Linked DNA regions of Schizosaccharomyces pombe. The gene in region 3 interacts genetically with the main gene of each other region. Each region holds a gene or a part of one and is shown on either strand. Other genes may lie near its edges.

Region 1 (3,778 bases), on a different chromosome or scaffold from region 3:
TCATTTCATCTTTGCTAATTGCTGATTAACCAAATGATGAAGTTAGTGCTGAGCTTTATTTGTTTAAAAAACTTTGAGTATAAGCGAAGCGATAGATTTGGAATTGAAGTGGTGCACTGATACTCGACAATATTCCGTACAGTACATTGAAAAGTCTGATTGTAGATACTTCTTCACCAGATATCTAATTCTAAGCATACAGAAGTTGCAAGTAAATTTCCCCACTTTTCCCAGTACTCATTAAGCGCTGCATTAATTCGATTAAAAGGGCTATCTTCTTAATTAATGTTATCCGATTTCGACAATGATAAGAAGAAATGAAGGTCGCCTATTATTTCGAAATTTTAGTTTGATTCAAACATTCATGGATCCTTAGCGATAAAGGTTAGTTCCAACATTACATTAGATCCTCGGAAATAGTAAAATCATAGTAGACATTATTCAGCTTGAAATAAGCTAGCGATAAATGTTTAATATACAGGCGGTTATGAATAATAGGAAGATTTGGCGATCTAGCATATTTACATTCTTGATAGAATTTTAATATTTATAACGTAAGAGAAGGGTCAAATATAGATTATATCCATTAGCCTATTAAAATGCTCAACAAATATAACAAATTAAACTATTCATACGAATACACTAACTGTAAAGAGGCATCTATCTCATCTCAATAAGCTTGGTATTTTAGAGGTCTCAAAAACAAGAGGGCAATGATTGCAATAACATATTGTCATTCGTAAATGAACACCCCTATAATTTACCAAGCCTTAGAAAGTAAAAATAAAAACTTGAAACTTGATATCATTAAAGACTCATACGGGTTTTTGCTCGCATACTACCAGCCTTTGATGAATCCTCATGAGCACTATATTCTATAGTCTCTTTATCAGAAATCCCTAAAACTTCTTTAAAGCGCAGGCTACATGTTTGTTAGTCCAGTCAACTACCAACACGTTACTCTTAAAACTTCACATACCCGATTTTTTCCAAAACATCTTTGTCATTACAATTTCGTGTCCATACAGCGATTCTATAGAATCCTTTCCTCATATTGCAAACTACACCAGTAACTTCTTTCCCAGTAGGGTCTAATGTTTCTCCAATGGCTGCCAGCACCTATTTCCATACGTTAATACTTTCAACTTAAAAATTAACATTCTGTAAAGTCGATATCACAGCAGTTAAAATGAACAGACCATGACTTACCATATACAGCCACAACTCGTCGAGATTTGAACCTTTGTGCTTGCTTTGGTAGGCCCATTTCCCACCATTCATGTTTTGAGGATCCTCCCATTCAGGACGAATACCTTTCAAAAAGTAAGAGTAGTCCGATTTGGCGGGAAGCATCGAAGCTTTTGAGATCGTCTTAAAGATGCCCCAAAACTCTTCCACTGTCTTGAAGGAAATAATCTCTTTAAGAAGATCACTCCATTCAAGACCTTGTGTAGGTGGTTTCAAAAACCACAATGTCCATTCATGCTGAAGGGGGTGTGTTTTTACAAATGCAGTTTCAGCATTAACAGCCGATAGACCTTCAAGAAGGCGCGCTGGACGTCCCTCTCTTTCAGTTTTAACTTTTGGTGACCCAAATAAATCCAATAGATCTAGTTTTTCTGTGATTAAGGAAGTGTTGGGAAAACCCTCATTTTTTGAGTGACGCGAGTCTTCTGCATCTGCCATTTGCTTTTTTTAAAAAAACAAAAATATTAAAAGAGCTTAAAACGTTTTTATAATAGGCAGTTTGTAAACTAGGCTGGATGCTGAAAAGATGCGGTGGTCGTAATTGGGTTACGAGATCCAAGCAAAAGCAACTTTCAACACACTGTTCCTGTAAAATATAATTGTACATTCATACCTTAAATATTGGCTAAGTATATATAAAAAGTCAATAATCAGCCTTAAAGCTTTACAGTAAATTATTTGTTTGATTGGAAATGCACGAGTATAATCAAATTTCACACAGCTTTTTATCTGCATACTATTATAATTCGTGAAATCAAATTTGTTCCCCTTACGTGTCAAATTGTTAAAAATCATTTTGTAATTACAAAGATGCATAAAGCTATGTTGTATATCTAAGAATCATTTAAATCTCAAAAACAATGTTGCAAAATGTAGAACCTTTCTCCATTTCAATCAAAAAACAGCTTGATCTAGTACTACAAAAACACCACCAGTTAAATGCAGACTTCCGGTGACACAAACAAAAGTATTCCTGGATTTTTGCTTAATTGACATCACTGTCTCAATAGCTTCTTGGATGGTAGGGGCTACTGTTGCTTCACTAGTCGTGCCCTTCGATTCTTTCCACCATTTACATAAATCCTCTTGTACATGCAAAACGGGCTTATTATCAGTAATGGTATTAATGCTTAACAGCTCTGGATTATAGCCTGCATCCTTCCAGGTGACATTGGTTGAGAATATAACATGCGTAAACGAAATCCCAGTTCCCGAGCTTTCCAATCCTTTTAAGAAGGACCTAAGTAAAGCAATTGGATCATCCCTGCTTTGCTGGTTAAACAGAAGAATACGGGCATCTGCATCCTCATAAAGATTCTTCTTGGATGCGAGCCAAAGTCCAGTGGCCTCCAAACTTTCCTTGGTGTGGGCTCCATCAAAACACCATTTTATGTTGTTGATTTCCTCAATTTGGCATCTTCCAGGCCATTTTACATACTTGAGGCCGTCCAAAATTGCTGGATCCTGATATGGATCTCTATCAAAAGGGCACCCGGCCTTTTCATAGAATTCTTGGACTAAAGAAACTGCAAGGGATGTATTTCCAAGCTGATGAACTCCTGAAAGACCAATCATATCCGGCGTTAATTCAGCAGGAGGTATGACTACCTTAAGTGATGTATTTCGTTCAGCAGCACGGTTTTTTAAAACATTCATAGCCTCGGGAGCTTGCTCGCAAGTTAAGGCAATAGCTGATTCTTTGTAGATTCCAGCTTTCTGCCAAGCAATTTCTGCTATTGTGTTCCCCAACAAAGACGTGTGGTCAAGACCTAAGCTTGTAACTGCTGTGGCATATGGTTTTTCAATTAAGTTTGTAGAATCGTATTCACCACCAATCCCAACTTCAATGATAGCGGCATCGACATTCTCTGAAATGAAAACGTGCCATGCCATTAGTGTCAAGAATCGGAAATACATTGGCTTTTCCGAATCACTACCGACAGCATTCTCTAGGCGCTCCCATACATCAAAAAAATATTTAGTAAACAACTCTTGACTGATAGGTTTGCCATTTAATTGAATACGTTCACAGACAGATCGGAGGTGAGGAGAAGTGTACATACCAATGCATTTTGGAATCGACCTTTCTCCACTCTTCTGTATTTGCTGTAATATTGAGGATGTAAATGCACATGTAGAACCCTTTCCTTTAGTTCCAGCAACATGGATGACATTTAGTCGGTTCAAATCTGATGGCTGAGATTTATTAGTTAGTAAAAGTTGCATGACAGTATAGAACTATTAACAAAAAGATTTCGTAAAGAGATACAGGCTAAACCAGCCAAGTCAACAATTCCTATTGATATTTCCCTTTATAGACATGATGTGCTGTCCTTTCAATGAGATTATTATTATTAAAAATAAGGTGAAGTTAAAGAAAGGATCACAATCGAGTACTATAAAGGACATACAAATACTTGTTTCAATCTCGTTTAATCATATGCAGCGGCTTAAAATATTTGAGTGCTATTCTTTTGTAATTCCTAATTATAAGTAGTAACTTACCTGATATCCAATGCATCTAAGCCAA
Region 2 (2,940 bases), 970 kb from region 3:
AAAGTAAAAATTCTACATTAGAAATTTAGGGGACAGTCAGTTCAAAGGTCTCCTTTCTAATCATACTTGTAATTGAGATTGTAACATTCAGTGCAAAAGAAAAAAATGTTATTCGCGTTTTGAGCAAACCGGCAAGGTATGAATAGTATTCTTCAAGCCTTTAAATGTCAAAAACCCATCAATTTTAATTCCACCTGGTTGTTCGAAAACTAATTTCTTAGAGTTATCTTTAACACGTGCTTGAACTGTATTCCCTAGTTTAATTGAATTTGGAGGTGTTCTTTCTAAACCCGGAATTAACTACAATGACTGTCTCAAAATATATTTTCCCATATTAATAGCTTCCAATGTATTTACAGCTTTACCCTTTCGTCGAAGTCTTTGACAATAGAAATGCGAAGGAATAAATCGCTTGAGTAAGTAACTTATCATAGTTCAATTCACCTTATTGTTACATTGCAGTAAAATTGTTTTTGTTTTCTAAGTACACCTTACTTATCATCTAAAAATGGTGAGCAAGCATACGATGCATGCATTCAACTCTAGAAACTTAAACTACATATAAAACTAAAAGGTAACGTAATGGGTGAGAAGGCTGGAAAGCGTTCGAGTCTACCCTCACTTAGACTTAATTTTGTCGGACCACTCAAGCCATGAGCCAGTGTAGTTTCCAATACTAAAAGGTTAGTTTTTGAACACTGTTCTCGAAATTAAGTGGAATTGTTCACCTATACAAACATACTTTTTATAGCCGAGTTTGGTGAGAATGTCAGAAGCGGTCGTACTTCTTCTACCAGAGCGACAGTAAACTACAACGTTGTCCTCAAAAACGGGTTTGCTGAATCCATAAGTCTTGGAAAACTCCTCGTCACTAAGTTTCATGGCTTCCTCGATTTTTCCAACAGGTAAATTATAAGAAGTTTCGATTGCACCTTGCTTAAATTCATCGGGCTCACGAACGTCTGACATGTTAGCAGAATAAGTTTTAACTCACTATTGTATTGTCCTTACCAATTAAAACGGTGGATTTGTCGCCAGTTGGTCTTTTACTAAGGTTATAAACCTATTTCAAGTTAGTACCGTTAATAATTCCAAAATACTTGGAGAGTAGAGTAGCGAAGTGTAAAACTTAGCTTTAACCAGAAAACATCGCATATGAAAGCAAACGTATTCCTATGTTGGTTTACCTTTTCGAAATCAAAGATGCTGACATTCTTAACTACTGTAGAACTGTAGAAAGAGCGGGTCATCAGGAGGCGAGATACGGAAAGAGTTTTAGAAAACATTATGGGTGAAAACAAGGTTTATTACAGCTAGATGGCCCCTTTCAGCAGGCAGGTTAAATCTCAGATTCCCACAGTTGACGGTAGTGGTATAAGCGTGATCGGTGAGTAGTATGATTATATGAACGATCGCTATTACGAAATCGGCAGGTTTGAAGTGTTATAGGGGCTTGTGTTCAGAGGAATCAATAAATGAAATGGATCTTTGTATTTTCGAGATTTTTCAATAATATTTTTCTTTTTTAAAACGGTAGTTTTTAAAGTTACTATTCAAGAAAAGAGCGATTCATCCATCGGGAAAAATGAAGTTGCCGCATTTTCTATGTTTCACTTTTAAACAATTACATATTCAGTATATAAGTTCATAGAATAGAACTGTACGTACGTCTTTGGCACAGTTCTTTAAAATTGCGGATCTTTAATTGTGTATATTACTATATGGAGGTAGCATATGGATTTACCAAAAAGCATTTTATGGATAATTTGTTATTCATAAAATTATGTTTGTTGGAAATACACTGACAGAAACAAGCACTCTAATTTTCAATTGAGCTACAGTTGTTTGTTTTATCATTAGGAGAAAACAGGAATTCATACGACGCTGATTTATATAGATGTATACGTAAGTTTATTTATTTATTTTTTCTCGTCGGGCCTGAAATGCACTGTACTGTAATGTCATGGCATGCTTCAATGCTAATGTAATAGGAAAAAAATCACAGTACACAAATTTTTATGAGTGCTGATATTCTCGCAATGGAGAAACGCTAGGTTTAACGTAAGCATGATGTTTAAATTTGCCAGTACAATTAGAAAACAGGTTGTAAGTCCACCTTTGATATTAGGTCACAGTTCAAATCACTTTTGATTGTATTGCACATGATATTACGTTTACTAAGATTTCGCATCAATTTTAATATTGCAAGTTCTAAGGTAGCAGCATATTATTGAAAATTGAAATTTCAAATGGAAAAGTGATTCACATGCGTCCATTAAAATATAAAAAATAAAAAAAGAAATTTATATCTAGAATAAATTATTGTTTCTTTTAGCGGCAGAAAAACTAGTAGTAAAAATTTTATGCCAATAAATAAATATATAAAATAATGAACCTAAATAATCATATTGGCAATGTTTTCCAATTCAATCATCCGAAATGAATGATTGCAATGGATGAAGGAAAATAAAAACTTGTAAAAATGAAGGTCAGTAAGATTCAGTGTTTAAGATACCTCTCTGGTTTACAATCTTTTATGGACAAATATATGAACGGTTAATTCGATACAGTTCATCTGTTTCACTCGAATACTCAATATAATTTATTTACAATTCACCCATTAAATTAATATTTACCTTATTCATTCGCTTTCATTAATTTCATTCATTCACTTAGTCCCTTATTGTACCAACCTTGTCGCTCGGTACCGAATACAACAGTCGGCGGTTGATCATAGCTAACTAGTGCTAATAGCTAATTTCCTTAAGCAGACTTTTAATCCAACTGTGAATACCAATTACGTACTGTTTTGATTTAGTTAATATTTTCTTCCTCTTTTTTTTTTGCGCTTTTTTTCCATCGAAATCAAATATTATGAAGAATGACTTACTTCATAATTGCGATACCCGAAAACATCACTGATAAAGAGGGGATATCATA
Region 3 (5,842 bases):
AAACTCTAGAAGGCTCAAATAAAAAGAGACAAACAGTCGTCCTTAAAGCTGAATGCATGCTTAAGCAGCTGGAGAATAACAATGAACTTAAGAGATAATGATGTTTGAAATGTTAATGACTTTTAATGACAATTAAATGACTTAAACAAATTATAATGAAATTATAATTAATAAAAGGTATAATTATTAATTCTAGTAAGACTGTAATGCTTGTTAAAGATAGAATTAAGCATCTAAAGGATAACTTTTCTAGTAATCTATTTTGCTCGGGAAATCTTAAAGTAATCAGTAAATACATCAGTTCCAACTTTTAATGATTCTTGAACGTCGTCCCAGGTACTACGCTTTTCCTCTTCTCGAGTTCCCCTATTTTTTTTGTCTTCTTTGAGCCATTCCAAACATGTCTCTAGAAGGGCGCTATTTCCCGTAGAGGACCTTGTCATCAGAGCACCAAACTTGGATATTGGTCCATAATCCACGATACGCCCAAGACTGAGATGGACCAAGTGAGTTGGCCACTCAGCTAAACCATCAAATATATGTGTTGCATAAACAATAGTAGCATTCCTTACTTCCGTTTCCTCTTGCAAAAAATTTAACAAATCTGCCCGGGCAAGAACATCCAAATCTACAGTTACTTCATCAAGTAAAAGTACTTCAAATGGACGCAGAAGTCCCATACATAGTTGAACACGTCGTCTTTCACCATCGGACACTGCATGCATTCGCCAACGAAGATCTATATCAAGAATTGAAATCAAGAAATCCCTACGTTCGGCAAATTTATCTCCTCCAACAGAAGCAATTAATCGTGCAACACTCATATCCCTATGTATAACAGGGTTGTTAACCCATTCTACAAACGCACACATCAGTAAAATTTGATGTTAAAAGAACTTACCAGTTCCTAAATAAACAAATGCAGAACTAGACTCACGAAAAGGATCTTTACCACCCACCGATATATGTCCTGCTTTCGCAAGCGATTTTCCAGATAAAAGTTTAAGTAAAGTTGATTTTCCTGTTTAACAAAATTCCAAGAGGACATCAGTTAGCATTTAAATATTCTTCATCAATTTCCATAACACCGCGAAACTTACCAGCTCCATTGGCTCCAACAAGTAAAGTCCTTGATCCTTTAGGAAGATCTAAAGTTACGTGATCAAGACTTAAAGGCTGCTTTGGAGAAAACGTGTAAGAGAGGTTTGAAACAGTTACTTCCATTTTGAAATAGAATGTTTTAACAGTAGTAAAATATAATTATCTAAGAACTTAGTTTTACAATATATAAAGGATCCAAAAAAAGGCGCAAATTAAATAACACTCAAACTTTGTGGGTTAGCTGGATTGTGTTTAGTACATCTGTGTATCAAGTAAAGTGTGGAGGGAATGCAGTAAAGTTGTTATAAGCAAGACCTCGTACTAATAAATTAGCTTTCCAAGTCTTTGTAAAGAACCTTTTTTAACTATTAAGTAATGCTGCCCATATTTGGAGATGCTATTAAGACCTTGAACACACATCCTGCGGAGTCTTGGAAAGAAAAATGATTAACATCGATGGAACAATTGGCAAACAATATATATAGGAGATAGAAGCAGATAACATTTGTAATCAACTACAATTTATGCTACATATTATTTGGCTTAAAACTAAGTAATAATACTTTCCTAAGGTCACCCCATTTCGTTTAAGACAACAGACAAACCTAACATTCGCATGGAATTTTTTAACAGCAGGCGGACATTTCTCAAATAAAAAAATATAAATATAATATTATTTCATTCCTGCTAAACGATTTTAGCTTTTCAACGTAGTATTGCCCATATCATTAGACTTAATATATTAAACAACAAACAAACATCGATATGGGCGAAGGGCTTTATATAACGCGGTACGTAAAATAGTCTTACCTCAAACCGTTTTCTCACACCGTGATTTTAATTGAATTAAGTATTACTATTTTTCGGTTCTTTAACCAATTGTTTTAATTAGATAGTGTACATTTTTCGTGAAAAAAAAGAACCATTAATATCAGCACTTAATTATTCACTTTAATGAGCAGCAGAAGAAATGACTACCACTATGATGGAAACGACCACCAGTATCGTAGTCCTTTGAAATCAAACGTTGATCAAAACAGTTTTTATGAATCTAGTTATAGGAGCCGACAATCCTACCATCAAAGAACAAAAACACCCAGATCTAGTTATGATTCACCCTCTTCATCTACAAATTCCAAGGAACACAATTCTCCCTATCATTATAGAGTCCCTAGCAATAATTCAACAAGAGCGTCTTTTGGGGCAGCTTCTACGGATACGAATGTAGAATTGCCGAAGATTAATCTTCCAGACTCGAGTTTGTCAAGTAAACTTCAAAGCTGCAAGTCTGCGTGCGAGAATTCATCCCAGAGTTTATTGAATGTCGAACAACAATACGCTCAACAAGTACATTTTTGGGAAAAAATTAGAACGGATATATACCGAGAAGGTCTACGTAGTGATGCAGCTGTAAAAAGCTTAAACGATTTTGTAAATAATGTCAGCTTCTAAATAAATTATTGCAATCATCGTCTGCGTACAAATCATTGAGCTTCCGCTTTGTGGATATTATTATGACTTTTTATTGAAAGTTTTATCCCAAACCCATATTTATAAACATGAATGTTTTTGTATAGCGTTTTTTTTTTTAAAAAAAAAAAATAAAAATAAAAAAACGCTTCATACACTCTAAACATTCTCAGACTACTTCGGTTCTCTCCCTTTTAACGTATAATATGCATTTTAGATTTTCTGAAGTTTCATTACGGTGAAAGTGCTGTAATGGACACAGCGTTCTAAATGTCTTCTTTTTTAATTTTCAAAAACAAACTCGAAAATAACAAATTTTCGCCTTGCATATCCAATAAACGAATATGTCTATAGCCTTGTTGCAGTCTGTCAATCGGACAAGTAAAATTAGCAAATATAGAGTCATTTCCATTACTTCCTCGATGATGGACGAGAAATCGGATCATGGAATAAAAGTCATCACTAATTATACTCTCATAAACCATGGTTTCTCCCCAAAAAGGTCGAAATCCATTTTCGTGCACAACTTTGGAACACCAACGAAAAGGAGATTCTTCCATTGAATGAACTTGGATCTCAACATAAGGGCTGAGAGTTTCAGAATTAGAAAGTTCTCTAGCTCTTCTAAGTTGTTGCCCAGATATGACATCTATTGTTAATTTTATTTTACGAGGAAGTCCTTCTTCGCCAACTGTTGTACCAATTATTCGTTGACAAGGTGGCTTTAACAAGTACCCAGTCGGAGGATCAGCTATAAACAAAGCATCATTTATTTGAAGACCTGTATCATAAGTTTGCCAGTTTAGAGCAACCATTTGCACACCCAGGCGCCAATACACCTGAGGATTAAAATTTGTACTTCCTACTCTCAATGGGCCAGGGTATACACGACACAAATAGCGTAAATTATGTTTGCTAAGTCTTGGAACCATAGCTTTTCCATGCTTTTTTATAGTCCTTTCCGAAAATGAGAATATGTGGCTATACGTTTTTGATTCCGGTAAAGAAAAATTTCGAAATTTCAATGATCGGGCATAAGGTGCAAGCTGTTGCAATTCCTGCACAATGATATTTTTCATCCGTCTTTTACCTTTCCTTAACCCTGTTAATTCTGAATTTTCTAGCTCCGATGATTCGGTAGTATCAGTCGAAGAATCAGTTATCCCAACCTTCAGTATGTCTGTCGAAAATTGGTGCAATGGTGTTGCTGAACATTTGACTTTCAGCAAAATTTTGTTCAGTAAATCTTCGGGTGAAGGAAGAACTGATTCGTTAGCGGTAACGGGTTTCATCACCAAAGTATCCCCAAATGCTTGTTTCATGTAACTAACCATTTGACGTTGTTGGTCAGGGCAGCAATGAATTTCCAAAGAAATGAATAATGGATAAGGTGAAACGACGAAAGCATATTTTCGTATAGCATCAATAACATCATTAAATTTTATCATAGAAGTAAATGTATGTCCATGACAAACTACAGGACCATTCGGTCCATCCCAGCAATCGATTTCAATACACTTGCAGCCACGCTGTAGCGAACGGATATAACCTTCAATTGAACTTTCTCCACCAAACTGCTTACCTAGTAAATAAGTGTTATGCGACGAAGAAATTAAGTATTCATTCAGTGGTCGCGACATATCTTGTATCACAGGAACTACTGGAGAATTATGAGGAGAAAGTAGAAAGGAAGTAAATTCTATCAAACCCATTTTTGAATCATCATTTGAGCAAAAAGAGACATACAAAGTCCTAATTGAGTCACTATCCAAACGAGCCTTTTGAGAAGTTGATAGAAAGTGACGAAACTGTTCCAAAGACATCTTGTCAGAGCCAGATGTATATTCTTTAAAAATATCTACAATCTCGGATCTTGTTTTTAAAAGGCTTACAAAATGCTGAAATTCTTCAAAACTTAGCTTTCCAGAATGATCAGCATCTGCCTTTTGAAATGTTTCTTCTAAAAACTCCATTGATGCATTCAAATGTAGCATTTGGCACATGCGATGCACGTCTCCTAGATCCAACTGTGCACTTTGCTCCTTTTCTAACTTTTCCCAGGGATTTAAATTCTCTGAATAATCTATCATTTTTTCACCTTGATGGCAAACGAGATTAAGTCCAATAATAAATTCATTCAATCGATAAGTTTTTAGACCTTCTAAAGCCATAATCCATTGATTATGCGCATCTAAAGTTGGAGATATCATATGCATAGCCTTTAATTTATTATCAGCACAATATATAATTGTGAACCAGCGTTTCTCGTTCTCAGAAGAAATTTTGTACTGTTCTCTATAATTACGAGCATCGCGGCCCTGTCGAATTTCTTTAATGTCATCAACACAAAGCTTCTTATAAGCTTTACCAGTATTCTTGTCCAGCATAAGATATCCAGATATAGGGTCTAAAGAGACTTTACGTTGGCGCACCTTTTTCTTGGTTATACGAAGTAAAGAGCATCCGTTTTGAATAGATTCAGGGACTATAGTAGCTAATAGCTGTCGAGAATTAAAGTTTTGATTCACCGAGCTCAGAGTAGATAAGTTTTCGTTACTATCGCATGAGTAAGGGTTCATTGAAGTATTTGTTCTCGCAGAATTCATTCGACCTTGCAAGCGTAGCAAAAGATTTAACTTCAGAGAAAGCCAATTCAATCCTCCATGGAATTTATTTTCTGAAGCTGATGTCGATTTCGTACTCAGAAAAGAAGATAAAGAATTTGATCGTTTACGTAGAGTACTATGAGCATCGCGATCCCTTGATGATAGCATCTTAAAGAAATCCTGCTCCGATTTCTTCCTATTGCCAACATATGGGAGATCCAAAGCAGCATTATCTAAGGTTTTACTCCTCGTCTGAGCAACTGCGTTTTCTGAGCAATCGGGCAGGCAAAATGGACTTACTGCTCTGTTGGAGTCTCCTAAGTTGACCGATTCAGGCGACGTTACCATTTCACAATTCATTATGATATCTATTTAAGGATTTACACCGCCATTGGCTTTTTGATCATTATGTTGATATTTAAAAGTTCTTCGGTTTTTCGGTTTTCATTCAGCAACAATACGCCGTGTATGTGTCAATAAAGATAAGTGGATAGCACTCAAAATTGCATATGAGCATAGATTCAATCCACCACTTTAAATCAAGTAAGCCTGATATTATTATAGGGACAAAAATTAGTTGTTTTCGGAACTTTTACCTCTTATATCGTAGGAGCTTACATCCGAGACTTTTGTTAACGTTAGTGGCAAGCGCGCTTTGGTTTAAT

Evidence for each region. A genetic interaction does not mean that the proteins touch.
Region 1: mutations in shf1 (region 3) and tif452 together harm fitness less than expected from each alone (positive genetic interaction), as found in Schizosaccharomyces pombe (one large-scale study listed by BioGRID).
Region 2: mutations in shf1 (region 3) and rdl2 together harm fitness less than expected from each alone (positive genetic interaction), as found in Schizosaccharomyces pombe (one large-scale study listed by BioGRID).

What each region holds. Positions count from the first base shown.
Region 1 is NC_003423.3:1,132,407-1,136,184, reverse strand, and holds tif452 (translation initiation factor eIF4E, 4F complex E subunit isoform 2, stress response factor), read right to left. Parts: upstream 1,792-3,778; 5' UTR 1,687-1,791; coding exon 1,210-1,686; exon of another isoform or gene 1,120-1,209; coding exon 980-1,119; exon of another isoform or gene 923-979; coding exon 808-922; 3' UTR 566-807; downstream 1-565. Other genes in the region: met7 (putative folylpolyglutamate synthase), read right to left, coding at 2,143-3,444, 3,754-3,778. UniProt on the Schizosaccharomyces pombe protein: Recognizes and binds the 7-methylguanosine-containing mRNA cap during an early step in the initiation of protein synthesis and facilitates ribosome binding by inducing the unwinding of the mRNAs secondary structures.
Region 2 is NC_003424.3:3,838,095-3,841,034, forward strand, and holds rdl2 (thiosulfate sulfurtransferase Rdl2), read right to left. Parts: upstream 1,377-2,940; 5' UTR 1,287-1,376; coding exon 1,188-1,286; exon of another isoform or gene 1,064-1,187; coding exon 1,012-1,063; exon of another isoform or gene 963-1,011; coding exon 743-962; exon of another isoform or gene 677-742; coding exon 619-676; 3' UTR 566-618; downstream 1-565.
Region 3 is NC_003424.3:4,807,481-4,813,322, reverse strand, and holds shf1 (histone H2B-K119 ubiquitin ligase complex (HULC) subunit Shf1), read left to right. Parts: upstream 1-1,914; 5' UTR 1,915-2,055; coding exon 2,056-2,553; 3' UTR 2,554-2,837; downstream 2,838-5,842. Other genes in the region: formin Fus1, read left to right, coding at 1-98; CCR4-Not complex subunit Caf16, read right to left, coding at 258-856, 902-1,021, 1,101-1,224; phosphoinositide phospholipase C Plc1, read right to left, coding at 2,838-5,537. UniProt on the Schizosaccharomyces pombe protein: Component of the histone H2B ubiquitin ligase complex (HULC) which plays a role in transcription regulation by catalyzing the monoubiquitination of histone H2B to form H2BK123ub1.